Rattus norvegicus: one gene and its partners. The main gene of each other region encodes a partner of the protein of the gene in region 5 in a complex. Links are inferred from orthologs where the notes say so. Each region holds a gene or a part of one and is shown on either strand. Other genes may lie near its edges.

The links.
Region 1: Tubgcp6 (region 5) and Tubg2 share a complex: the UniProt entries of both Homo sapiens proteins name them as parts of the gamma-tubulin ring complex. The link is inferred for Rattus norvegicus from reciprocal best matches to the Homo sapiens genes TUBGCP6 and TUBG2.
Region 2: the proteins of Tubgcp6 (region 5) and Mzt1 are in contact, whole or in part, in a crystal structure (PDB 6M33), measured with the Homo sapiens proteins. The link is inferred for Rattus norvegicus from reciprocal best matches to the Homo sapiens genes TUBGCP6 and MZT1. Residues at the interface, in NP_065194.3 of Homo sapiens: Met1, Ala2, Ile4, Leu7, Phe8, Asp10, Leu11, Cys12, Ala14, Leu15, Pro17, Ala33, Leu37, Val40, Ala41, Ala44, Leu45, Asn48, Ile70, Leu73, Lys85, Arg88, Leu89, Leu92, Val93, Glu95, Leu96, Leu104, Leu105, Ser109; in NP_001065243.1 of Homo sapiens: Asn17, Ala20, Val21, Thr24, Val27, Leu28, Glu30, Ile31, Ser32, Ile34, Leu35, Asn36, Thr37, Leu39, Glu42, Thr43, Leu44, Ile46, Cys47, Arg49, Leu50, Cys51, Glu52, Gln53, Ile55, Asn56, Pro57, Glu58, Ala59, Leu60.
Region 3: the proteins of Tubgcp6 (region 5) and Tubgcp3 are in contact, whole or in part, in a cryo-EM structure (PDB 6X0U), measured with the Homo sapiens proteins. The link is inferred for Rattus norvegicus from reciprocal best matches to the Homo sapiens genes TUBGCP6 and TUBGCP3. Residues at the interface, in NP_065194.3 of Homo sapiens: Pro65, Arg67, Asn68, Leu71, Met72, Ser74, Phe75, Asp76, Arg78, Asp87, Glu90, Asp151; in NP_006313.1 of Homo sapiens: Pro9, Asn10, Val11, Leu13, Gln14, Glu25, Ala26, Ala29, Gln30, Phe32, Gln33, Val36, Arg37, Ile39, Gly40, Ser41, Phe43, Thr129.
Region 4: Tubgcp6 (region 5) and Nme7 share a complex: the UniProt entries of both Homo sapiens proteins name them as parts of the gamma-tubulin ring complex. The link is inferred for Rattus norvegicus from reciprocal best matches to the Homo sapiens genes TUBGCP6 and NME7.
Region 6: the proteins of Tubgcp6 (region 5) and Tubgcp4 are in contact, whole or in part, in a cryo-EM structure (PDB 7QJE), measured with the Homo sapiens proteins. The link is inferred for Rattus norvegicus from reciprocal best matches to the Homo sapiens genes TUBGCP6 and TUBGCP4. Residues at the interface, in NP_065194.3 of Homo sapiens: Leu312, Thr313, Ala315, Gly316, Arg317, Ala319, Phe320, Phe323, Leu326, His327, Glu349, Pro390, Glu391, Ser392, Ser395, Leu396, Glu399, Tyr403, Ser455, Leu456, Leu457, Thr458, Gly460, Phe461, Lys464, Lys465, Arg468, Arg471, Tyr472, Glu475; in NP_001273343.1 of Homo sapiens: Met1, Ile2, His3, Glu4, Leu6, Leu7, Ser10, Gly11, Tyr12, Pro13, Gly14, Ser15, Ile16, Gln29, Phe31, Pro32, Phe33, Leu34, His35, Pro36, Glu38, Thr56, Ile59, Glu60, Thr63, Val66, Gln67, Gln68, Ile84, Arg87.
Region 7: the proteins of Tubgcp6 (region 5) and Tubgcp5 are in contact, whole or in part, in a cryo-EM structure (PDB 7QJE), measured with the Homo sapiens proteins. The link is inferred for Rattus norvegicus from reciprocal best matches to the Homo sapiens genes TUBGCP6 and TUBGCP5. Residues at the interface, in NP_065194.3 of Homo sapiens: Glu290, Ala291, Ser292, Lys293, Arg294, Arg295, Cys296, Trp297, Glu298, Arg299, Val300, Gly301, Cys302, Pro303, Pro304, His306, Arg307, Glu308, Glu309, Pro310, Tyr311, Leu312, Glu314, Lys322, Arg325, Leu326; in NP_443135.3 of Homo sapiens: Asp211, Asp212, Arg213, Trp215, Leu216, His219, Val220, Val221, His222, Trp225, Ser230, Phe232, Pro233, His234, Leu238, His239, Ser240, Asn241, Leu242, Leu264, Val265, Thr266, Glu267, Thr268, Gln269, Arg272, Val302, Thr303, His304, Leu305.

The regions. Positions count from the first base shown.
Region 1 is NC_086028.1:86,594,610-86,598,365, reverse strand, and holds the end of Tubg2 (tubulin gamma-2 chain), read right to left. Parts: intron 3,571-3,756; coding exon 3,444-3,570; intron 2,261-3,443; coding exon 2,174-2,260; intron 2,067-2,173; coding exon 1,917-2,066; intron 1,484-1,916; coding exon 1,331-1,483; intron 1,253-1,330; coding exon 1,091-1,252; intron 883-1,090; coding exon 685-882; 3' UTR 501-684; downstream 1-500. UniProt on the Homo sapiens protein: Tubulin is the major constituent of microtubules, protein filaments consisting of alpha- and beta-tubulin heterodimers. Gamma-tubulin is a key component of the gamma-tubulin ring complex (gTuRC) which mediates microtubule nucleation.
Region 2 is NC_086033.1:82,202,637-82,206,890, reverse strand, and holds the start of Mzt1 (mitotic-spindle organizing protein 1), read left to right. Parts: upstream 1-1,454; 5' UTR 1,455-1,523; coding exon 1,524-1,593; intron 1,594-4,254. Other genes in the region: Bora (protein aurora borealis), read right to left, coding at 148-300. UniProt on the Homo sapiens protein: Required for the recruitment and the assembly of the gamma-tubulin ring complex (gTuRC) at the centrosome.
Region 3 is NC_086034.1:83,588,485-83,591,984, reverse strand, and holds part of Tubgcp3 (gamma-tubulin complex component 3), read right to left. Parts: intron 3,153-3,500; coding exon 3,017-3,152; intron 2,330-3,016; coding exon 2,261-2,329; intron 1-2,260. UniProt on the Homo sapiens protein: Component of the gamma-tubulin ring complex (gTuRC) which mediates microtubule nucleation.
Region 4 is NC_086031.1:79,210,962-79,214,461, reverse strand, and holds part of Nme7 (nucleoside diphosphate kinase 7), read right to left. Parts: intron 2,423-3,500; coding exon 2,256-2,422; intron 1-2,255. UniProt on the Homo sapiens protein: Possesses an intrinsic kinase activity. Displays 3'-5' exonuclease activity with a preference for single-stranded DNA. Does not seem to have nucleoside diphosphate kinase activity.
Region 5 is NC_086025.1:122,071,792-122,075,291, forward strand, and holds part of Tubgcp6 (gamma-tubulin complex component 6), read right to left. Parts: intron 506-3,500; coding exon 295-505; intron 1-294. UniProt on the Homo sapiens protein: Component of the gamma-tubulin ring complex (gTuRC) which mediates microtubule nucleation.
Region 6 is NC_086021.1:128,608,880-128,612,379, reverse strand, and holds part of Tubgcp4 (gamma-tubulin complex component 4), read right to left. Parts: intron 2,770-3,500; coding exon 2,645-2,769; intron 1-2,644. UniProt on the Homo sapiens protein: Component of the gamma-tubulin ring complex (gTuRC) which mediates microtubule nucleation.
Region 7 is NC_086019.1:115,782,294-115,785,793, reverse strand, and holds part of Tubgcp5 (gamma-tubulin complex component 5), read right to left. Parts: intron 3,150-3,500; coding exon 3,035-3,149; intron 2,447-3,034; coding exon 2,357-2,446; intron 1,611-2,356; coding exon 1,517-1,610; intron 887-1,516; coding exon 640-886; intron 1-639. UniProt on the Homo sapiens protein: Component of the gamma-tubulin ring complex (gTuRC) which mediates microtubule nucleation.

The DNA of each region.
Region 1 (3,756 bases), on a different chromosome or scaffold from region 5:
CTGTGCCTTCAGAATGAAATGGAGAGGTGACTGGGGCCGCGTGCAGATGTAGAAACATCTCTGGTATGGTGGGCGCAGGACTACTCTTGAATTTTTTATTCTGTCAGGCTGGTTCAGTACGGTTATGTTCCTGAAGACGATGGTGGTCCTAGACAATGGGACTCCTCTATCCTAGCTATTCTAACTTGCTCAGACCACCATGGCCCCTTTGTCCCTAGACCCTGTATCTCTTGAGTATAAGAGGTTAAGGCAACGTCACCCAACTGGGAACAGGGGCATAGGCACTGAGGATACAGCAGGTCAGGAACTTTCAGTCATCCCAAGAGAGGGACTGACCCCTAGGAAAACAGGCTGGTTCGAGGTAAGATGGGGAACAGTGAAAACACACTAAGACCTAAGGAGTAAGTTGGAGCAGGTGAAGGCCAGCCTGTTGTCATGTGTTGTCATATGGAAGGTGTGCTCACTTGGTGTCCCATAGTCACAGACCAAGCTCTGCTGTATTTATCATCGAGCCTTCTTGCTTTATTAGAACCAAAGAAGTCAGTGAAGAACCAGGAATGAGAAGGAAGAGATAGGAACAGCTCCTAGACGGGACATGAACTCAGAAATGTGAGGGGACATTGTGTCAGAAGGTCCAGGCATGGTGGGGGCTGGGCTTGTCCAGGGGAACAGCAGAAAATGCAATCACTGCTCCTGGGTGCCCCAGGAGATATAGTCCGGCCTGGTAGCAGCGTGATACTCATCGATGAGCTCCTGCACCACCTCCCTGGATCTGTCCATCTCCTCAAAGTTGTCCTTGAAGATGTCCTCTTTGCGGAACTGCTCCAGGAAGGCCCCCCGCTTCCACAGTTTGTCATACTGCTGGCAGGAACTTTCAAAAAGCTAGAGGGAAAGAGAGCTTCAGAACAGCATGCAGGCAGAACACAGAACTAGGGACAGACAGGGTGGGGACTAAGGACATAGGGAATGGAGCAGAGTGGCCAAAGACCAGGAGCTGGGGTGTGGCTCAGAGTGGGGAGAGCTACCTCCCATTCCCGAAGCCCTGGGTTTGACTCCCGGTAACACAGGGACAACAGGAGACTGTGCTCACCGAGGAGATACTGGTGTGGTTGGCCATCATGAGCCCGCTGACCCGGTGGGCTGAGGGCAGGTAGGGAGACTTCCTTGACAGGGCCACCTGGATGCTGGCCGGGCCCCAGGGGATAAAGTTGGCCAACTTCCTCTCCCGGATCCTCTGCAGGCTCTTGTGAACCTGAAGTGGGCAGAGAGGTGGTGGTGGCTTCTTCTCCATCCTGTGGTCCCCAGGCTAGGGTAAAGAGGCCTTCCTTACCTGGGTGGGGTCCACCTCTCCCTGGATGATGTTGAGGATGGCGATGTAGCAGTGGTTGGTCTGACGATCCCGGCCTGTGGACACCATCACGTTCTTGGGCTGTAGCAGTCTCCTCATGACATCCAGAACTGTTGTCTTCCTCACACTGGCCACCTGAGGGAACAGGGATTCACAGGGACCCGGGCAGCAGTCAGGGAGCAACTCAGAGTGGCATGGACAGAGGAGAAGGGTCAACTCTGTCCCCATCAGCTGGCAGGAGGTGTGGCCTCTGGGGACTGTCTTTAGATCAGGTCTGTGCTGAGTCTCTGCCATGGGATTAGGATCGATCAATTGATCGATCATGGCTCTCAGCTCACCAATCCCATGCCCTTGAGCAATGAGCAGGAGACCCCATTGGGCAGCACTCCTGCAGGAGCCAAACAAAGGTAGTAGAACACGGAGGCAGGGCTGCAAACTGGTGGCAGTGTCAGGCCCTGAGTATAGAACCTGGGGAGGTGGGTAGAGAAGGGCTGCAAAGAGTGGCTTTGTGTGGGAGAGTATGGAAAAGGGAAAGGCCTCAGTGCTGGGACACTGGGGGAGCTCTTACTGACTGGTCCGTGGTGAGGGGGGTATAGCCAGTCATGAGGAAGTGTAGTCGAGGGGTGGGAATGAGTGAGGCGATGAGGCCGATGAGGTCGTTGTTCATGTATCCGGGGTAGCGCAGGGTGGTGGTGCTGGCTGACATGATGGTGGACACCTGGGAGCAGGAAATACTGTGTCATGGGACTTGATGGAGGTGGAGCGTCCCTCCTCTGATGACTCTCTCGCAGACAGAGGGCTCTCATTCCAGGAGTGGGGGCTCACCAGCTGGTTGATCTGGGAGAAGGATGGGTTCTGGATGTGCAGGCGGTCTGTGGCGATCCGGTTCAGGGCCGTGTTGTCCAGCACCACCTGGCAGGATATGGGGCTCTATAACATCTTTTGAGGCAAAAGGGGACCTCGGAATAAGACAATGCGTAATGTCTGTAAATTCCCAAACCAGGAAGTAGATTTGCTACCTTCAAAGAAATATTCTATCTCTGGGATACCATAAGAGTAATGGCATGACACAGGACCATAAACATATATGTCCCCCACATGCCTTGGTTCTAGAGAGACTACAGAGAACAGATATGTGCCGCCCTTGGGCCTACAGTCCAGGAAAAAGCAATTATTGAAACAAGGCTGGAGGTATAGCTCAGATTTAGTCTCTTTTAGCCATAAATACAGCAGGCATGGGAGTACACACATTTCCAATTAAAAAGCCGAGGTAGGGGAGCTAGAGAGATGGCTCAGCGGTTAAGAGCACTGACTGCTCTTCCAGGGGTCCTAAGTTCAAATCCCAGCAACCACATGGTGGCTCACAACCTCCTGTAATGGGATCTGATGCCCTCTCCTGGTGTGTCTGAAGACAGCTGCAGTGTATTCACATAGAATAAATACATTTAAGAAAAAGGTAAGGTAAGGAGGATCACAAGTTTGAGGTCAGCTAGGACAGATTTAGTAAAATCCTGCTTCATTTCTTCTTTTTTTTTTCTTTTTCTTTTTTTCGGAGCTGGGGACCGAACCCAGGGCCTTGCGCTTGCTAGGCAAGCACTGTATCACTGAGCTAAATCCCCAACCCCCATTTCTTTCTTTTAGTCTAGACTAGATCTCAGTCCATAGCTCAGTCTGGCTTGGAACTTAATTATGTAGCCCAGGCTATCCTTTGAACAAATAGTGATCCTCTTGCCTCAGCCTACGCAAAAATGGAATTACGGGCATAAACAACCACGTGCACCTAAGACAAGTTTAGTTCACAACATACACAAAGGAATCTGAATAATGGAGGCGGGGAGGTTTTGCTATTAAAGTGACCTTTGAGTTCAAGCACAAGGAGGCACCGAATAGGCAAAATGGGGTAATATGCCGGGACAGGGGAATACTCTGTGGCTGCCCCAAAATCCTGGAAGCAACTTGGAAGTTGGCATCTTAGTTCATAATCTGGCCCAGTGTCATGGCTTTGTTGGGTGTTTTGTGTGAGCCAGGGCCAGAGAAGGGCACGGACAAGTCTTAGAAGGGGAGCTAAGTCCTGACTCCCTCTTCCTTTCCTCACCACACAGTCCGCGTTCTGGGTCAGCCTCTTTAGGGTGAGGAGGGAGTTGTAGGGCTGGACCACCACGTCACTCATCTCATCCTGGTTGGGAAACACAGAGTAGGTCTGCACCAATTTCTTGGGGTACCTGAGGGCAAAGAAGAGGGAAAGCAGAGGAAGGCACTGTGAACCGGAAGGACCTCCCCAGCCATCGATCTCCTTTCCAAGTGCCACTGAGCTCGTGTACAAAAGGATCAAGAGCACGCCTCAGAAATTGGCACCCAGAGGACAAGCCACGTTCTGTAGGTCCCAAGGGAACATCCCATCTCCCTGC
Region 2 (4,254 bases), on a different chromosome or scaffold from region 5:
CTATACACATAAGAGCGCTCAGATCATGTCTGCTGAAAGAACCATTAGAAGATTCGGTGCCATCTTCTCCTTGTATTTACACTTAAAATTATTTGTAGTTACTTTCAGTTAAAATCACTTGTAAACACTAGGCAAGAAAAAACTTACTGGTAGTTTTGTGGACTTAAAGACAGAAGGACTAGCAAGGGTTTGTTCATGGAGATTAGAATAATCACTGGGACTTTCAAAGGGATTTAAAACAGGGATCCTTCCTGGAGTTGCTGGTGTTATTTGCATTTTTAATTCGCTGACATCTCCCATAGCCCAGGAAGCAAACTAAAAAGAAATCAAAAGTATACATGTTAAAATTACTGAGTATCATGGATATTAATCCTGACAAAATACATTCGACATCTCACAAAGAGTTCACTCCAAATGGCATCCTCTTGGGGTTAGTTTATGTTTATAAAGGAGAATTAATCCCGTACGTTTTCTCAGATGATCCTGAGAAGCTAACCCTGGAAGCTGGGGAGGTAAGGCACTGGTGCTATCATTTTTCTGAGGAAGCAACACATGCACGGAAGTTAGGCGGCATATATGAACCAGCCAACCAGTTATGAGTGAGGTCTGGTTCAATCTGATTACACTAAACTCAAGCACCTTCCAACCAAACGACTCCTATTTGCCGTTCTCTTTATTCGTTTTCTCCAGACTAAATATTATGAACACCCTCTGGATACCCACGTAATCCCATAAAGAACTGCAATTATTACTACTGGCACGTTAGTCTTCACTTGAACAGATGACTGACAGGGTGGATCCAGGTGGGGATTTAAACTACTTTTCCCGAAGACCACTTCCCGCCAGGATCCAAAGGCACGCTGCACTCCTTCCAAACAGGATTGCAGCCAGAAGCGGGGGATAAAAAGAAGAAAGAATTTACTTTTGGAAGACCAAAGTTGAGCGGGCTCCCTCCGTACCAGCAGGGACGTCACTTCCAGCGACCATTCAGCTTCCAGGCGTCCCTCTCTCTGCTCCCCTTCACACCTAGGCGAGCGCACAGGCACGTCTGCAGCCAGGAAACCAGAGCGGTCCAACTCGAGACAGGAGTCCAGGCCTGGGGCCACGGAGGACGTACCGACATTCGTGGGTAACGTGGAAGTTCTAGCACCCCGCAGGGCCCACCGCAGGCGCCGACTCTTTAACTCCCTCAATGCTCTCCGGCCAACCAGGGCGCGGGGCGGGGAGAGGCCACCGGCCAATCGCGTCTCACCGCCGTCCGCGAACCAGCCAATGGCGTCGAGGCGGTGGGGTGAATTCGAACGCTAACTCCTCGCTCTACGTTCCGCGCAAGGGAACGAGGCTCCAAATTCAAATCAACGCGGTCAGGCGTCCGCGCTCTGCGCGAGGGGGCGGGGCTTGGACGGCGGGGGCGGGGCCTAGGCGGCGTGAGCGCGGCCGCGCGGTGAGATAGTGGGGCCGAACGGCGGGCGCTCCAGTTCCGGGTCAGGCCTTCTCCCACCGGTCGGGGGCTTCTCCTCTCCATGGCTAGCGGTAGCGGCGCGGGCGCGGCGGCCTCGGCCAACCTGAACGCGGTGAGGGAGACCATGGACGGTGAGTGCGTGTCGCGCTCCTTTTACCCGGCCTGCGCTTCCCGGCGCTGAGCCCCGGGTGGGGGCGTCGTGGAGGGCCCCGTGGTCCCCTCATCGACCTTAGCGGTGTCCTGCGAGGGGACGGGGAAGGGACCCACGGCGACCTCGAAGGTGGCGGCCCCAGAGCGCCGGTCTTCCGCTGCGGCGTAGTTTGGCGCATGCGGGGCGTTCTGGCCTCGCGTCCGCTGCTTGCGCGCCCGGCCTGGGTCCACGCGACCCGCCTGGCCCCTGGCGCGTGCTTGTGGCACCGCAGAAGCCTGCGACTGAAGTCCCGGGCGAAAGGGGTCGTGGACCTTCGGTCACTGCTCAGTCTCTGGCGTTTCAGTAAGGAGCAATTTGTTTCTAGTGTATGAGGACATCTTCCGGTCCCCATCTCCCACTCCTTAGACCGGGCGACACGGGTGACTGCTGTTGTGGGTGTGTCCGCGCCCGCGTCAAATGGGTAGAGCGCACCCACTGGTACGAAAATAAGCCTCGGAATTGCCTTCTCTCCGCTGTGGTTCTGCAGCTTCGCACCTCTGGGACCCCATAGTTATTTTCTTTATTAAAATAAAGTTGTAGTTCCAAGGGATACTGTGGGTATTTAAAATAAGACAACCAGGTCAAGCGTTCATCAAGTTTTGTTTGTTTGCTTTTTCTTTTGCAGTAGCTGCCATCCCGTCTGCAAGCATCTTTCTTTGTCTTACTTCATTTTACTAGTTTCCATCAATATGTGGTGCTGCTATATGCAGTGGCTTTGACGGTTTCTAGGGGTTACCACCCCAGCAACTTAAGAGATAACCTTATGTCACAGTACTGCCCCGTGTTTTCTTCACTAAACGCCCACCATATCTTGCCCCTTCTGATAGGATCTTGGAATGTTCCACAGCTTAACTTACCATAAAGTAAATTTATGGACACAAGGGTACCATTGTAGGTTTGGGGTTGTGTTCTGAGACAGACTCTCGCTGTGTAGCCTAGAGTGACCTCAAATTCCGGAGCTTTCTCTTTCTTCATTCGGAGTGTCCACGGAGTGCTGAGTACACCAGTGTGTGTTGTGAATAGTGTCTGAGGAGGGAAACTGGTCTAGTTGGTGGCCTGCTGGGAGAAAGGCTTTGCATCCCTACCTTTTCTGAGAGAACTTGCTGTAAAGTAAAAAAGCACAAAATAGAAAACCATTTAAAAATGAAGACCAGAGAAGTTTGTTTGCTTTTATTTTTAATGAATGGAGAACATGCGTGAGGTTTTAGTGCAGTTAAGTCATTGGGATGAGAACCAACATGAAATTTTCAAAGTTGGGATTCCGTCTCTTCCTTTGGTAGCAGTTTTTCTTCAAGCTTGAATGTATTTCTCCTTATCATTTTGCTTGCTTCAGATTCCCAACAGTGACTTAATCTTTTGATATCACTGGTTTGCTAGGTGAGTAGGACTCACGGTAAAGTTTGCAGTTGCTGGAGCAGGCAGGCATGTAACTTGTTTGCCCGTGCTGTGGGAGGAATTTGATTTTTCCACAGCCATACATACTCAAAAGCAAGACTAGGAAGTCTCCATTGATGAGAAAGAGGTTTTCCCTACAAGGGAGGAGCAGAAGGGAACCATAGTAGGGTCTGGAGGATTCTGAGGAAGTGTGCTGCTCTGCCAGTTATCAGGCAGAAATGCACCGTCTGCCCTCAGAGATGGAGAAGCATCATCTGTGTGTTGAGCTAAGATGCCTCTATAAACCTTTGTCCAGAGAGCTTGGGGCCGTATTGAGAGGGGATCAAAGAGCTTGTGAGCAAGAGGAGCTTCCCATCTGAGAAGAGCCTTCATCCAAATGTCACAAAGTACCTTAGGTAGGTGAAAAAAGAAAGTCATTGTAAGTCATAGCTATGAAGTATAATGGCGGTCGGGTACCTGGTGGGCCCATGCCGAGGTGTCCCCCTGAGAAATCACACTGTGCAACAGATCTGGTATAAAGGGGGTTTATTTGGGGGAAGGGAGAGGAGTGAGGGCCTGGAGAAGAGGTAGTGGACATAAAACAGGCCCAGAGATGGGAGCAGAGCCTTGAGGACAGAGAAGCAGGGACAGAGGACAGAAAAGGAGATGGAAACAGAAAGGCCGAGCACATAAGGGAACAGAGAGGGAGCTGGGATAGCGAGCAGTCTCGGAGATGAGGACATAGTGCAGAGGGCCTTAGCTTAGTTACCACATTTACCACCCAGAGACCCAGGTGGGAGGGGCACAAAACACCCAGGATAGCAGAGGGAACACAGTACTATGCTCTCACAGGGCTGGAAGACCTTCTACCAGCCAGCGAGGAAAACACAATTTGTGAAGCAATGAGTAGAGTGTATGGAAAGGTCTTACCTTAGTAGCAGCGTCAGCTCTTGACTACAGTGCTTGGATTCTGCCCAACTGATGTGAAGAGTTAGACCTGAGTGAATCTGTTTCCAGGTAACTATATTTATTATAAGCTCAGGAGTACTTACAGAAACATAAAACACATCCTTTACCAACAAAGTAAATTTACAGTATCTGGCTTATAATCACTGCTTATATGAAACAGGAAAATGAGTTATGAGAAAAATTCAAACCATTAGCAGAAAAAAACCCCACAGGCATTACTGTATTCCATAGTCAAAAAATTTTAATACTGACATGGAAA
Region 3 (3,500 bases), on a different chromosome or scaffold from region 5:
AGCAAAGCCCTCCAAATCAGTCTTCTGTAGCTGGAATCGAGACTCAGTGACCTCGCCACTCTTAAATCTGGATGGACTTTACCACAAATAACTTGAGACTCATGAAAAGCAGGGTCAACCAGAAATACTGCACATAGTTAACGAGCTGCATTTAGCTAATGCGTTCTTCTGCAACCTGGGTTGTGAATTTCACAATGTCCCAAATTAGACTAACCCAAAAATCTCACTGACATTTTACATCTTAGAATTAGTAGAAGCTAATGCTGCTATTATACGAGATATAATTATATGATTGCTATAGGATATATTCCTACTATAATTAAATTCTGTTCAAAAAATGACAACCTCAATTAATGAGAATAGAACGGAAACAGGTAACACACAAATTAACCAAGGGAAAAGCAGAAAAAGGCTGTATTTATACACTAGGCTTCCCTTATCTTTTGTGTACTTTTTCCTTCTTGCATGTGTGTACATGCCTGGACATAGCTGCATATGCATGCAGATGCCTTCATCTTCTACTGTTGAGACAGAGTCTCTCTGTCCTTGAACCCAGAGCTCGCTAATTCTGCTCAGCCACACAGCCTGCCCATTCTGGGGATCTCACTTCTGCTTCCTGTGCACTGGGACTGCAGGGGACTCCAGAACCACTCAGCATCTCCATGAGAGCTGGGGACCTGGACTGCAGCCATCAATCCTGTACAGTAAACTCACTTAGCTGGCTTCCTACACCTTCTTTCCAGCCTCAGTAACATCTACAATTAAACCTGACAGACAACCGCTAATGCTGATTTGAACACATGCGCTTTTGCAATAATAAGCCCATGAGGATAGCAATGGTAAAATAATTCACCACCCACAAACAGAAACACCACAAGTCATGCAGGAGAACACGCCCGGCACTCTGGTCCTGACTAAGCTATCACACCACCCCTTCTTTTTTCTCCATCAAGCAGACCAGGCTGCTGACACAACCAACTCAGCTGGTGTCTGAATGGATACCTGTGGGCCAGACTGGGCTGTCACAGATATGTCATAAAATGTTGTTCTTCAGTCCTGCTAAAGATGGATTCAAAACCTGAGTTTTAGCTATCCACAGTACACGGTGTGCAACTGTGGCATGCCAGTGAGGTGTGTGACACCATCAATAAGTAATGGCCTGGAGATGGAGCGTAGGAGCCACTCAGACACACTAGGGGAGTGCTCCAGTACTGAGCTGTACCCTGAGCCTTACTGTGTCCTTTATGCATACAAATAAATACTACAGCCACAATCTAAGAAAGCACATATCAGTCCTAACTTGCTGATGTAGCACACACTTGGGCACAGTCCACCACACAGAACAGCAACTCACAGCACAAGCCCAGGGCCACACTGAATATGGTAGTGGGTAAACTTAAGAGCAATTGTGGAGTTAAACTAGCAGCTCTGACCTGATCAAAGTCAAACATGGAATCCACAAGTCAAAGAAACCTCCTGAAGCTCTCAGGCCCCGTGGACTTACGACACAGCTCTGGGTGGCACTCTGTGAATGTGGCCTACACAGAATCATGCCAAGGGACTCGACTTATCACGCAGAAGGGACAGTCATGAAGCCACCTGCGACACCCACTAGAGAAGGGATTTTAGAGCCCAGTCATGCTTAGCAAATGTCCCCAATAATAAAGGAAATGTAATCTATTTCCCTAGCATTTCAGACGCAGAAATGACTAAGTCTCAGTTAACCCTACAGGGCGGGAACACGAGCTGGAGGCGTGTGGAGGCAGCTCCTCCAGCCGACGCTCCGTGCCGCAGACCAAACCGCCCTCCTCAGTGAGTGAGCGAAGGAGCTCACTACGGGACAGCTCTCAGCTCATCAGCCTAGATGAATGCTAGATATCAAACTCACCTAAGGAGAAAAAATACGATTCTCCTAAAATATACTTTATGCTTCCTTTCAAATTATCCTACATTACTTGCTACAGTCTAAGAATAATGGCATAAAATGAACAATGCGTTTAATAAGCACCTGCTGCAACCTGTGACAGAACAATGATATTTCTAAGAATTCTTAAAATCACCGAGCGTTTCCGCTCTCATTAATAACTCTCTGAACACAGCCTTGGCTTATGCAACCCACTCAGTGGGTAGACCCTGACATCACAATTCCTTTGAACCTTAGCTTTTAGAAAAGAAAGCCAATTTGAAACAATAAAAAGCCCAGCAATCCAAACACTGCGCATACTTCACACAAGCACACAAGCACACAAAATGACCTTACAGTGGCAATTGGTCCGTCGACGTGGTAATCCAGGCTGAAGACATCCCACCCAGTGTCACCAGGAGAGACCTAAGAGTAATAAAATAAAACAACAAATACTGGAGAGGCTTTGTACTCACTGCTAAGGAACCTGCCAACTGCTCTAAGGAAGGGGAGTACAGGAGGTGCAGGCTTTAAGACCAGGAAGCGCTCTGCTGTGCGAGCAGGGATCTGCCCCGTTGGCACCAGCTCAGAGCGAGCGAGGGGAGAGTAGCGGAGCACATCCCAGGCGCTCTGTGATCATGTGGGAATGAGCAGCACTGTTCTGAATGAGCAGTACAGACACACGCTCGAAGTTCAACCTTTTCATGATGAACCCACACTGTCTCCTATCAAGCTCAGAAACTTAAAAACAAAAAGCCAGTGGGTTTAGTGATGAGGCAGATCAGGCAGTGAAGACTCATGCTCATGCTAAGCACAGCCCTCCTACCAGACCAGCTCCAGACTCCCGTGGTCTGAGGAGCAGACACAGTCCCTGCCTGCTGACCACATGCATGCATCACCTCCAATGTACCATTAAATGTGGTTCACGCCACTAAGCACCGTGATGCTCCCATGACCTATGGGGACCTATCCCCTCAGAAAGATGTGCACCCTCACACGCCCCCAGCACGCTCATGCACCCCAGCACGCTCATACGCCCCCAGCACCCTCACACGCCCCCAGCACCCTCACACACCCCCAGCACCCTCACAGGCCCCCAGCAGCCTCACTTACTTCCAGCAGCCTCACATCTAGTCTCTTAAGGATCTCCGGGCTGTCAAACTGGGCATTGGTGGCTCTTACAGCAGTTTCAAGAATCCCCGTCAAGTTATGCTGATACAAAGTTGTTGCGGGCCGAACAAGTTCTGGTCTTTTAAAAAGGTGTTCAAAATTAAAGATACTATTACTTAAAGTTTAAAAAAAATAATTAAAGAAGTAAAAGCTCAGAAATGGAAAAGGAGAACAGTTAGACATAGTTATGAAAGCACCATGGTCCCAAGCAATTGCTCTGTGGTCTCATTCAGGTTTCTGAGAAGGCTCTAAGAGCATTGCTCCAGACCTTGTATATGACCACTGCAAAGACAACAGAGAGACCCTCTGAGGCGCCCACACCACACTTTGGAGTGTTTTACTGTCTTCCTGCATGCTTCTTTCTCTTACCCGTGTTCACAATTTAATAAAATGCTTTTAAAAACCTCACTTCTGCTTCATTAAGAAA
Region 4 (3,500 bases), on a different chromosome or scaffold from region 5:
AACTAAAGAAAATCAGAATGGCAAACAGTAAGGAAAGAAGAATAAAAAGGTACATGTGAGGATAACCGTGCATGCGTGCGTGTGCACGTGCGAGCGCAGTGGGGTTACTGGGCGGTCTTTAGGCCACAACTTAGAAGGGCTGTTAGGACAGCAGCCCCTTCTCCTTTACTTTTCTGCCCTAAGGTGTAGAGCTTCCTCCACCACTCAATATCCCTTCATAATTTGTTGTGTTGCAGCGACCCAAAGCATTGAGCCCAAACAGTCACAGGATGAAAGCTACAAAACTATAAGGTAAAATTAACCTTGCACTTGCATTGTGGAGAGAGATTTGCTCAGTGATGCAAGAAACACAAAACTGAATAAGACAAGATGACAAGAATCATTCCCAGGTCCTATCCAGTCTCCTGTGTTTAAATTCCCTTTTTTTTTTTTTCAGATCTTAACATTTATTTTGGTTCTCGCACACAGCCATGAGTTTCACTGTTCCATTTTCATAGTGAACTTCACTCATCTACCAGCCTTACCCATGCCCGTCCTCTCTCCCACCTCCCGCCAGTCCCCTTTCAGATGAGGCTTCTACCCCACCCTGCCCCAGCCCCTCCTGCCAACGCTGCCAGAGAGTTGCCACAGTGAAGCAGTGTGCTGCCTACTCCTTCCCACTGGGTTGTCCGTTTTGTTTGCCCACACTCTATAGCTGACATAATTTTCTTTAAATAAAAATTTTTTAGCTGGTATGTAAAATAATGTGATTCACGGTGACATTTTTGTTACAGAGTTATTTTCACACCCCACCAACCTCCCCAATCCTGACTCATTTCTTCTTAGTCCCTTCCCCTTCCACCAAAAGTTCTCTTTAGACTTCTCTCCTCTATGCTCCCCTTTCTACACTCTATCCATCCATCCATCCATCCATCCATCCATCCATCCATCCACCTATCCATCTATCTATATTCCACTTATTTTTTTAAAAAACCACCTGATATCTCTCAGTTGTCTGGCTTCTTTCACTTAATGTAATGATCTCCAGTTCTATCCACTTTCCATACATTTGAATTTCATTCTCTGTAGCTGAATAAAATTCCCCAGAGCAAGCTATTTCTTACTTTGTGATTTCTGATGGTCTGATCTCTGTCTCTCTCTGTCTCTCTCTGTGTCTGTGTCTCTCTCTCTCCTCTCTCTCTCTCTCTCCTCTCTCTCTCTCTCTCTCTCTCTCTCTCTCTCTCTCTCTCTCTCTCTCTCTCTCTCACCTGTGTCCTTTGCTCCATCTCCCTGAGGCATCTCCTCATCATCTCACCCAGAAGTTACTAAAGCTTCCATTCTTTGAGCTTTTTTATTATTATTATTATTATTATTATTATTATTATTATTATTATTATTATTATTTTGAGACAGAATCACATGTAACCCAAGCTGGCCTTAGACTCCCTGTGTAAACTAATATGACCTTGAACTTCTGGTCTCCTACCTTCACTTCCCAAGTGCTGGCATGACAGACATGTGCAGCCATCTCCACTTTTATGCAGAGCTGGGGCTCAAAGCCCAGACCTTTGGGGCTTCATCTGTGCTAAACGAACATTCACCAACTGAGCTGTTTCCCAGCATGCATTAGTTACTCCATTTAGTTAATCAAGCGCACTCCTATTTCTTCTTCATATCTATTGTTACCATAATCATTCAGATCATTATTTTAGTAATTAAACTTATATAAGTTTTAGCCACCAACTTACTCAAGCAGGATAATAAATAGTTGTTCTCAACTTAGGATGGACTTTCCCACCTTTGTATCTTTCTATATACTCACTCCATTGACTAGCATTTCTCCCCAGTTCATTTACTTGGGTATAATTCAATTCAGTTTTATCAAGACAGAACAAACACACAAAGCCTTCAGTCTTGCAAGAATTAACTTCATTTTTTCCTGAATTTACAGTGATTGGTGCATTATCACATCCCCTACCCCAATGTCACACTTATCCTTAGGAAGAAAACCTTGTGCTCAAATAGTCTTAGGTTTTAGTGAGAAATATACATAAGGAAGATAGAATGGGTAACAGCTTTATCTCCTCCCCCGACCCGTCCAAATAACCACCTCCTAGTACTACAGGCAATACCTCATTATTCAAGGAACGAATCCCAAGAGTTTTTTTGAATGTTATAAAGCTATACTGGGTCACTGGAAAAACTAGGTTATGAAGACATGGAAAGGGAGTCACAAGCAACGTTTCAATGGAAAACGATGACACAAGTGTCCTTACTTCTCTTTCCTGCTGCCCAGCTGGCGGGCTGTGTACTGGTCCCCATAGTCAATCAGCACCAGCTGTCGAGAAAACACATTGACTTTGTTGCCTATAAATAAATCTTCCACGCGCAGGTCCTCATACTTGGTCCGCTTTAAGAAGGTGCGACGATTCTTGACATCATGCTAGCACAAGCACAATGAGAATACTGTTGATGAATGAATGTATGCCGAACAGAGAACAGAAAGTTTCCAACAATAAAATACATATTTTAAATAATCCTGACTAGACCTATATACTAGCCAAGTACCCCAGCAACTATTAGCAGCAGACAGATTTTCATATTTCTTATTTTTATGTACACATTTCAATACCAAAGAAGCTCACTATAAATTGTATTTTCTTTAAGTGATGTATATTTATGTGTGTCTCCCTCTCTGTGGGGATGTACATGTGAGTGTGGGTACAGAAGACAGTGTTGGCTTGCCAGGAACTAAGTTATAGTTGCTGTGAGCTGCTTAGTGCAGGTGCTGGGAATCAAACTTGGGACCTACAAGAGCAGCAAGCACTCTTAACTGAGCCTTCTGTCTAGGCCTTCCATCCCCAAATAAGCTGCCTTTTTAAAGCAATTACCTATGAAGGGATGCAAAGACAGGGACCCTCTTAGAACCTCTTCAATTTGACGTTTTATACAGAGACCAACTTTTAACAATAATATTTATGACTCTAATAACCATTTATCTCTAATCACTTATCCAAAATTGATTAATCCAAAATACCAGTTGTCCTACTTCATTTTGGGGTCTCTCTATATATCTACTTCTATGTGTGTGTATTCTATGTATGTTCATGCATGTGTGTGTATGTAGGTGTGCATGTAGAGAGCCATAAAAGGTTGTCTGATGTCACTTCCCACCTTATTCTATCATCAGAGGCTCTCTCACTGAGCCTGAAGTGTGCTCTGAGTTAGGCCAGCTGGCCAGAGAGCCCCAGAGAGCTCCAGTCTCTGTTACTCGAGGTTGGAGTTATCAGAGGGAAAAAGGCCCAGTTCTTATGTAGGTAGGAGCTTAAGAGGCAAGCTCAGACCTTCACACCTTTGCAGCAGTATTGTTTCCAAATTAGGCCTATTTGTTTGTTTGGGGAGGCCTCAGCCTCCTAAGCATTGAAATTATAGTCCAATGTCACCAAGCTTAAGCTGCTTTTATATTTTTAATGTAAAATCTTGCAAAAAATACTTTAGTTAGAAATTTGCAACAAGACTGG
Region 5 (3,500 bases):
TGATCATGATAAGTTCTTTTGTTCAATAATATAAAGGACATCATTAAGTCAACTCTTAAAATCTAAACAGAATTTCTGTTTTGTTTTCTAATACTGGGGATTGAGCCCAGGGCCTCTCACATTCTTGGCAAGAATTCTAACACCAATTGGCCTGCCCAGTCTAACCTGTGGCTCTTTAATCAGCCCCACAGAGCAGCCTTCTCTGGCACTCATGGCACTGCATCTCCAGCTGAGCGTGCCTGGGGAGGCTGTCCCACAGAGCGCTGGTCTCAGATAGCCCCGAACCCTCCTCACCTGACAGAGGGAAAATGTAGCAGAGACAACACCCAGCAGAACGTTCAGTGAGTCTTTCACCAGCTCGCTTTCCTCCACCAGCACAGGCCTTGGGGTCTGGAGGAGGCCCCCACTGAGGGCCTGTAGTTCTCCATGACAGAGCCTGCAGAACCTGTCAAAGGCATCCCTTCCTGCCTCAGTGAGGTAGGGCTCCTCTCGGTGACCAGGGGGACTGTTGAGGAAGACAGAAGAGAAAGAGGTGAACAGATTGGATGGCATGGTGTGCTTTCCCCAGGCTGCAACTGAGTTTCTCAGGCAAATGCCCTGAGGTCCCCAAAGCAGCACCCAATCGTGATCGACAGAGACAGGTTCATACAGAGTGCATTCTTCTTGTGTGCTGCTTGTGTATGTGTGCTATATGTATGTTTTATTTTAGTGTGTGTGGGGGGGGAGGAGGGTAATGTGTGTTTTGCTTTGCATGTATGTTTGTGTATCACACGCATGCCTAGTGAGGCCAAAGGAGGGTGTTAGATCCCCTGGAACTAGAATTATAAATGGTTGTGAACCACCTTGTGGGTGCTAGGAATTGAACCCAGGTCCTCTACAAGAACAAGTACTCTTACTTGCTAAGCCAACTCTCCAGCCCCATTGTTTTATTTATTTTATGTGTATGAGTGTTTTGCCTGCATGTCTGTGTACCATATGCATGCAGTCCCTACAGAGGCCAGAAGAGGGTATCAGATCCCCTGGAATTAAAGTTACAGATAGCCGGGCAAGGCCAGCCTAGTCTAAAGAATGAATTACAGGCCAGTCAGGGCTACACAGAAAAACCGGTCTCAAAACAAAACAAAAAATGTACATGCTAACTTAAAATTAAAAAAATAAAAAAAATTGGGGGGTTGGGGATTTGGCTCAGTGGTAGAGCGCTTGCCTAGCAACCGCAAGGCCCTGGGTTCGGTCCCCAGCTCTGAAAAAAAGAAGGAAAAAAAAAAAAAATTGGGGCTGGAGAGGTGGCTCAGCAGTAAGAGCACTGGTTAGTCTTCCAGAGCATCTGGGTTCAATTCCCAGCACCTGTGTGGTAGCTCACATCTGTCTGTAAGTCCTGTTCCACCGGAGCCATCCAACACTCTCACACTGACATACATGCAGGCAAAACACCCATACACCGAAAACAAAAACATAATTTTAAATTTTTATTTATTTATTTTATGTGCATGAGTGCACTGTAGCTGTCTTCAGACACACCAGAAGAGGACATCGGACCCCACTACATACAGATGGTTGTGAGCCACCATGTGGTTGCTGAAAATTGAACTCAAGACCTCTAGAAGAGCAGTCAGTGCTCTTAACTGCCAAGTCTTACACAATATATAGTTAATTAAAAATATATTTTTAAAAAATCAAGGGCTGGGCTGGAGAGATGGCTCAGTGGTTAAGAGCACTGACTGCTCTTCCAGAGGTCCTGAGTTCAAATCCCAGCAACCACATGGTGGCTCACAACTATCTGTAGTGGGATCTGATGTCCTCTTCTGGTGTGTCTGAAGACAGCTACAGTGCACTTATATAATAAATAAATAACTCTTTAAAAAAACAAATCAAGGACACTAGTACATATCCAGGCCTGGTGGTACTACTCAAAAGACTAAGGCAGAAAGATCTGTGGTGGAACTGATTCCTCACGGAGTAACCCAGTCATTAGACATCATGAAGCCTGGGCTAGGGTGAGCTGCACAGTGAGACTTTGTCCTACACAACAAACTGCCCATGGAAAACCTGTTTAACAGGTCTACGATGCTTTGGACCCAACGAAGGCATTACTCCAGTATTTCCTACCACCACCAGTTTCTTGATTCTTTTTAAAATTTCTTTTTATTTTATACATGGATGCTTCAGCACATGCATGCCTCATACCCTCAGAAGCCAGAAGAGGGCATCAGATCCCCTTCTGACATTTGTACAGTTAGCTGTCATATAGGTGTTGGGAATTGAACCTGGATGTGAAGAGCAGCCAGTGTTCTTAACCACTGAGCCATCTCTCCAGCCCCATTTCTTGGTTTCTTTTTCCTTTCCTTTTTTGTTTTGTTTTGTTGCTGTTAGATTTGTTTGTTTGTTTGTTTGAAGACAGAGTTTCTCTGTGTAGCCCTGGCTGTCTTAGAACTCACTCTATAAAGACCTTGTTTCAAGCTCAGAGATTTGCCTGCCTCTGCCTCCTGCTTGCTGGAATTAAAGGTGTGCATCACCACTACCTGATCCCTTTTTAAATTTACTTATTCCTGTGCGTGCGTGCGTGCGTGCGTGCGTGCGTGCGTGCGTGCGTGTGTGTGTGTGTGTTTATGTGCTGCCTATGTATGGAGGATCCCATGGAGCAGACTAAGGCATTTGATCCTTTTGATCCTCTAGAACTGGGGTTAGAGAGGACTGTGAGGTACCATGTGGGTGCTGGAAACTGGGTCCTCTGGAAGAGCATCCAGTTCTCTTAACCTCTGAGCCATCTCCCCAGCCCAGTGTTCTTCATCTTAAGACCCTCCATTAGGGGCTGGAGAGATGGCTCAGCAGTTAAGAGCACCCGACTACTCTTCCAGAGGTCCTGAGTTCAAATCCCAACAACCACATGGTGGCTCACAACCATCTGTAAAGTGAACCGATGCCCTCTTCTGGTGTATCTGAGACAGCTACAGTATACTTATATATATATATATAAAAAAAAAAAAAAGACCCTCCGTTAGAACTCCTCAAATGTCAGGGGCAGTGATGCCTATGTATAGTACCAGCTACCTGAGAGGCTGAGGTAGGAAGAATCCTTTAGCTCAGGATTTTGAGGCTAGCTTGAGCAACACAGCAAGACCCTGTTTCAAAGTACACTTTTGGAACGTAGTCTTCCTTGCAGGAAACACTGCCGGAGTACTTTGGAGAACACCAAAAGGATGGAGTGTCTTCACAATGGAAGACAAATGAGCTGGTAGGTGACCATGCCTCCCAAACAATGACCCAGAAGAGTTACAGATGAGTAATACCATAAATATTTATAAATGAAAGGAACAGGCTGTAAGGTCAGTTTCTCAACATGTAAGGGATTGGTAGATAGGAGGAACATTTGCTTTATACAAACAAGACAGAACTAGAACCCTGCTGTGAAATTACAGGACAGAGAGGGCTCTGAAACCATCAGCACCATTTAAGCTACAAAGCATGGAGCTGGCCATCCCATGAGGGAACAAATGACCAGA
Region 6 (3,500 bases), on a different chromosome or scaffold from region 5:
TTATCTATGCATTGAAATAATGTGATTTTTCCATTTATAAATGTTTTAAATTAAGGAGGAGAAGCTGATTATAACTAGCTTATTAATCTTAATAAAAGCCTAACAAGACTAAATAATGAGAAAAACTGGGGCTGGTGAGATGGCTCAGTGATGAAAAATCTTGCTAAGCAAGCATAAGGACCTGAGTTCAGATCTCCAGCATGTATGTAAAAGCTGAGTGCAGTGGCTCATGTCCAGAACCCAATGTTGGGAGACAGCAAGACAGGGAGATGCTGGTGCTCACTGGCCAGCCAGGCTAGCCAAAAGAAGGTATCTGAAACTATTCTCAGGTGGGTGTGCATGGACACACACACACACACACACACACACACACACACACACACACACACACACACTAACACACACACACTCTTTGTAACATAAGTATACATACCACACTCTTCCTTCCTTCCTTCCTTCCTCCCTCCCTCCCTCCCTCCCTCCCTCTCTCTTTCTTTCTTCCTTATTTATTTATTTATTTATTTATTTATTTATTTATTTATTTATTTTAGACAGGGTTTCTTTGTGTAGCTCTGGCCATTTGCCTTGTAGACCAAACTGGCCTCAAACTCAGAGATCCACTTGCCTCTGCCTCTCCAATGCTACCACTGACAGGCCATAAAATAAATTTTAAAAGACAGAATTTAAGTAAACAAAACATAATATAGACAAACAAGTATTTTAAAAAATTAAATCGGGGCTGGGGATTTAGCTCAGTGGTAGAGTGCTTGCCTGGGAAGCGCAAGGCCCTGGGTTCGGTCCCCAGCTCCGAAAAAAAAGAACCAAAAAAAAAAAAAAAAAAAAACTGAAATAGTCAAGTTCCACAGTCACAGAATTATCAAAATTGTTACAAGAAGAAATTTTATGGTAATTTCATTTTAAAACATACTCAACCAGTAAAGTTTTTCTTCCTGAGAAAGTCTAGCTTAGATCACTTCTCATTAAGTTCAAACTTTCAGTAGCCAATTACTGATATAGACTGTTTTTACAAATAATAAGGAAAGAACAAAAGCAGCTACCTAGCCCATTTTATAAGGCTTATGTAAAAACTACCCAGGAATAAGACAGAGAAGACAGACAATCGTCTTTCTTAACTAATGCACACAGATGTAAAAACTTTATGAAAGAGAAATGGATTCAAGGCAAGGATGCTCTCTTTCACTAACACAAGGGGCAACTGGTAAAACTGACATCACTTAGGATAAAAAAATCGGTTAACTAGGAAGAGAATACTTTGTTAAACTTCCTTCTAGAAGCCTACAGTAAATATCATAGTAATGCATGAACTCTGCATCTCTAAGAGTCAGGAAATCAGAAATGTCCAATATTACCTCTATTGTTTGACACAATTTATGCAAACAAAGCCCACTTGTCTACTGTTTCAATAAAGAGCCTAGAACAATGTATGTTTACACACTGGGAGAAATGTTGTAAAACATTATTTTCAGGGGCGGTCATCTTTAGTACATAAAAAAAGTATCAAGTCCCAGAACTAAGTTAGGTAACCAGGGACTCAACTCAAGAGGTGGTTCAGATGTAAGAGCACTGGGGTTGGGGGTTTAGCTCAGTGGTAGAGCACTTGCCTAGCAAGCGCAAGGCCCTGGGTTCGGTCCCCAGCTCCGAAAAAAAAAACCAAAAAAAAACCCAAACAAACAAACAAACAAACAAAAACAGATGTAAGAGCCCCAACTGCTCTTCCAGAGGTCCTGAGTTCAATTCCCAGCAACCACATGGTGACTCACAACCATCTGTAATGAATCTGATGACTCTTCTGGTGTGTCTGAAGACAGCTACAGTGTGCTTATATACATAAAATAAACATATAAATTAAAAGTTAGTTACGCAGAGTTAAGTGGAATGTGTAAGATTAGCCAGCAATAAATTAGCAATACTATGTCTCCATGTAAATAATAAACAACTGAAGATACAAGCGTTTTTCTCTTATATTATCCAAAATTTTAAAACCTTATTGTCAAAGTAGTGACTATTACATAGAAAAACAAAAATCATAAGCTTACACCTTGAAGTTCACAACGGACATGGCAATCACCATAAGCACCCTCAAGTCAAGAAATACTAGTACCCAGAATCCTACTCCTCCCTTCCCACTTGTCTCAAGGGCCAGGACCACCATCCTGTGCTTGCTTTCCTTCTAAGATTACTGTGTGCTAGAGAAATACATGGTTGATACTAAAACACACACAGGCACAGGCAGATACACACACAAAACTTCTTAGCACCCAAATTCATGAGTGTTAGGAATTAAACTGAGACTTCCCCTTTAATCAACTAATTAAAACACACCAGTGGAAGGGCTAGTTCCATTTCTACCTGAAAAGTAGATGTACTTTTACTTATTTATTTTCTGTGCGTGAGGGTGTCTGCCTTGTGCCTTTGGAACTCAGAAGAGGGCACTGGATCCCCTGAAGCGGGTTACAAATGGTTGAAAGCCACTATGTGGGTCCTGGGAATTGAACCTAAGTCTTAACCACCGAGCACCTCTCCAGCCCCATCCATCTTTCTGTCCTGTCCCTGTCTCTCCTTCGTGCCCTTTAGTGCTCTACAAACTCATCTCTTCTGGAAGAATATGAGACAGAAGACAGACCTCAGCCACAGTGCTACGAATCCCATCTACCACCTGCTCAAAGTCCACCAGGCTGAAGAGTGGCTGCTGCTTGAGCCGGTGCAGCTCGGCAGCAAAAGTGTCCTCCTGGTTTTTCAAGATGGACCCTGTGGAGTATGACGACACGATCATCAGACAGGAGTCAGGGTAGTCAGGGTAGTCAGGGTAGACAGGGTAGTCAGGGTAGAAAGGGTAGACAGGTTAGTCAGGGTAGACAGGGTAGACAGGGTAGTCAGGGTAGACAGGGTAGTCAGGGTAGACAGGAGTCAGGATAGTCAGGGTAGACAGGGTAGTCAGGGTAGACAGGAGTCAGGATAGTCAGGGTAGACAGGGTAGACAGGGTAGTCAGGGTAGTCAGGGTAGACAGGAGTCAGAATAGTCAGGGTAGACAGGGTAGTCAGGGTAGACAGGGTAGTCAGGGTAGACAGGGTAGACAGGGTAGACAGAGTAGTCAGGGTAGACAGGGTAGTCAGGGTAGTCAGGGTAGACAGGGTAGTCAGGGTAGACAGGAGTCAGGATAGTCAGGGTAGACAGGGTAGACAGGGTAGTCAGGGTAGTCAGGGTAGACAGGAGTCAGAATAGTCAGGGTAGACAGGGTAGTCAGGGTAGACAGGGTAGTCAGGGTAGACAGGGTAGACAGAGTAGTCAGGGTAGACAGGGTAGACAGGGTAGACAGGGTAGTCAGGGTAGTCAGGGTAGACAGGGTAGTCAGGGTAGTCAGGGTAGTCAGGGTAGACAGGGTAGTCAGGGTAGTCAGGGTAGTCAGGGTAGACAGGGTAGTCAGGGTAGACAGGGTAGTCAGGGTAGTCAGGGTAGTCAGGGTAGACAGGGTAGTCAG
Region 7 (3,500 bases), on a different chromosome or scaffold from region 5:
TGCTGCAACGGTTAAGGGGTAATCACCGCAGGTACCGCTAACAGTAGAGTGGGGACAGTCCAAATGTCCACCACAGCATGAACAAAACAACTTTTTCACAAAAAGAAATGGGGGCGCTCTCATACGCATACATAGTACTCTCTAAAAGAATGTACAGGAGCTGCCTGTCTTGGGAGAGGAACTGGAACAAGAAAAAGTGAGCACTGTAAGCTACGGCATTTTTTGGATTTTTACAGACAAATGGCTTAAAAATAGAAATTTAAGGTAGCTTCAAAGTTATTTAACATTTTATTACATTTACTAATGTGTGTGTTTCTGTGTGTGCATGCGTATATGGGTGGTGGTGGAGGGAGATGTGTGTGCTACAGTGCACATGTGGAGGTAGAGGATAACTTGAAGGAACTGGTTTTCTCCTCTATCATGCAGGTCCTACAGATTAAACTCAGGCTGTAAGGCTTGGTGGCAAGTGCCTTTATCTGCCACGCTATCTCTCCAGCCCTAAAATCACTTTAAAAACGAATATATTCATGAAAATTACTTATTTGCCATGTAATTTTTAAATGTCTTATCAATAACTGAATAACTTTAATAGTATTCAAAATGAGTTAGGTAGTTTATAAATAGAAAAAAAAGACCTACCATTACTGATAACACTCTTCTCAATCTCTGTAAGCTCCTCCTTGAAGTTAATGAAGTATTTGTAGAGGGCCCACATGAACGCCTGGTAGGTCCTAAAAGGAGCGTCAGGTGTCTTCTTAGGTATGGGACCATTTCCTGGTGATGGACTTTCAGAGCTGTGCCCCATGACTTCATCGATGAACTCCTGGAGCCGAAACACAACCTGGCCATATGCTGCTATCTGTTCCAGCACAGATCGTAAACAGCTCTACAACAGAAGTCAAGTGTTAGTGTTTAAAGCTGGCCTCTCACAAATGTTTAAACTGTAAAAGACACTGTGTGAACATGACAAAGTAATAGAACGAGTTCAGTGAAACAGTGAACAATCAATTTGTACATACTACAGAATTATTGCTTATACTTTTAAAAAACACACATAAAGTACAGAAAAAAATCATTACGCATCCTGCTTTCTCAATACAGAATATAAGATAAAATAAAAATTAAAATTAAATGTCACAAATATTTAAGAGTTGGTTAAGCTCTGTAATGATGCACAACTCAATTTTACTTTTTAGAGTTTTTACTCTCTTCAATAAATCTGATAATGTAAAATGCTCTAAAGGTCTATTACCAACATTTAAAGATTTATTTTTTATTTTATTATATATAAGTACACTGTAGCTGTCCTCAGATACACCAGAAGAGGGCATCAGATCTCTTTACAGATGGTTGTGAGCCACCATGTGGTTGCTGGGAATTGAACTCATGACCTCTGGAAGAGCAGTCGGGTGCTCTTAACCACTGAGCCATCTCTCCAGCCCTATTACCAACATTTAAAAGACTTCTGTTTAATTTTAAATTTAATTTTTAAGCAACAATAAACACAGATACTTACGTGTGTTAAATGAGTTACGATAATATTGTCTCTCACAGTTACCTTTCCATCTATCAACTGAAATATAAACAGCTTTTTTACCCCTGAAAGTAACCTGAAATGAAATAAGAAAAGATCAAGATCAATATATTTGAAGTTTACTAAAATAATCACTAAAGTATAGCTGAGAAATTTATTTTGGAAATTCAGAATTAGGGGACAAAATAGGTCAATTGCACAAAAATGGGAAGATTGTCAAACTTCACAGGATTAAGACTCAAGATATTTCAGCATCATTTTATAAGTTCAACCACCCCTACACACACACACACACAGACAGACACACACACACAGACACACACACACACAGACACACAGACACACACACAGACACACACACACACACACACACACACACACACATATGCACACAGACATACAGAACCACTAAACTCCTGAAGATACAAAGAAACCACTGCGTGTGTAACACTGTCAGATATGGATAGAATGTTAGCACCACCTGGACCCAGGGGCTCATCAGAGGTTGCAAGAGACTCACAGTGTTGGGTCTAGCACAGACAACCCTCACAGACACATTTTAAGTATAAGCAGTCAGCAGCAAACCTTGCTTTAAACTCAGGTATTCAAAAATGATGGTCTAACTCAATCCCAAATTATTTAAAATAGGAAAGAATATATCAAAATTACACAATCTTCACAGTAAAATCTATCTAAAGTCTGAAATTCATCCCTAAGGCCTGTTTCTAGCCTCCCAGTAAAATTTCTTGGGTATATTCCTTAAAAGCAAAACAAAACAATTTTCCTTTCAACAGTACAATCTCCGAGGCTGATGCTTCTTACCATAGGGTTTCCCGAATGACCTGTGTCTCAGTAACTACCACCCTGTCATCTGGAACATAGAGCGGGTCACTGCTGTACAGGTGTTGGTCCCTATTAAAGAGCAAACATCAAAGGTCAACAGAAAAGTTTTAAGTAAAATTACTTGCCTCAATGAATATATGCAGCTTTATACTCAGCAATTAAAAAATAAACACAATAAATGTCTTAAGTTCACTCCATATTCATTTTTCAGATTCACTGAAATCTTTTTAGTGAAGCATGTTCAGAGCAACTACAATTGCTTTATCATTCTATTAATTGCTTAAAACTATGCAATTTTTAAAAAATTAGTGTTTTTATAGTAAGTACATTAAAACAGAAATTAAATACAGGCTAGCATATATCAATCTACTTAAATGGAAGATAAACATAGTGCCATTAGTAATTTCATGATATTAAATATTAATTAGAAATTGCTAAAGGGAGGTAAGGTTCAGCTCAGCAAAACAGTGCTGTGTTATGTGTCTAAGGCCTTTGGTTCCTCCCCAGCATGATGTTATGTTTACTGTCGCATACATTCCACTACACTTGTTTAAAACCAACAAGTTTACAATTCATGATTTAAGTCACGAACCAAAGTTATATGCTTAACCATCAAAGTTTGTTCTGTCATTATATTAAATAAGAAGTTCTGCTTACCAGACAGCAGCTAAATTGGAGTGCAAATGTGAACTGTGTGGAATCCGGGAGCGCCTGGTTGTCCAGTACTGATGGACTACATGCTGTTCCAGCCAGCTCCGGCTATCTGGCTCATCTGCCACAAAAAGCGAAACACATATCAATATTTATAGTGACCAGGAACTTTTATCTCTTCATAACGAAAAGTGTAGCTCCCTCAGGATAAAAGCCTATGAGGGCCCTCCATGGCCACTGTCTAGTCTGTGAGAGGGCTGACCTAGAGTTACTCAAATTGTCATAAAGATATAAGATTTAAGAATTAGAAGGACCAGGTGGTGCAGTGCATGCCTTTAAAGCCAGTGCTTGAGAGGGAGAAGCAGGCAGATCTCTGAGTTTGAGGCCAGTTTGGTCTATAGTGAGTTCCAGGGTAGTCAAGACTACACAGAGAAACCCTGTCTTGAAAAACGAAAAGAGGGCTGGAGAGATG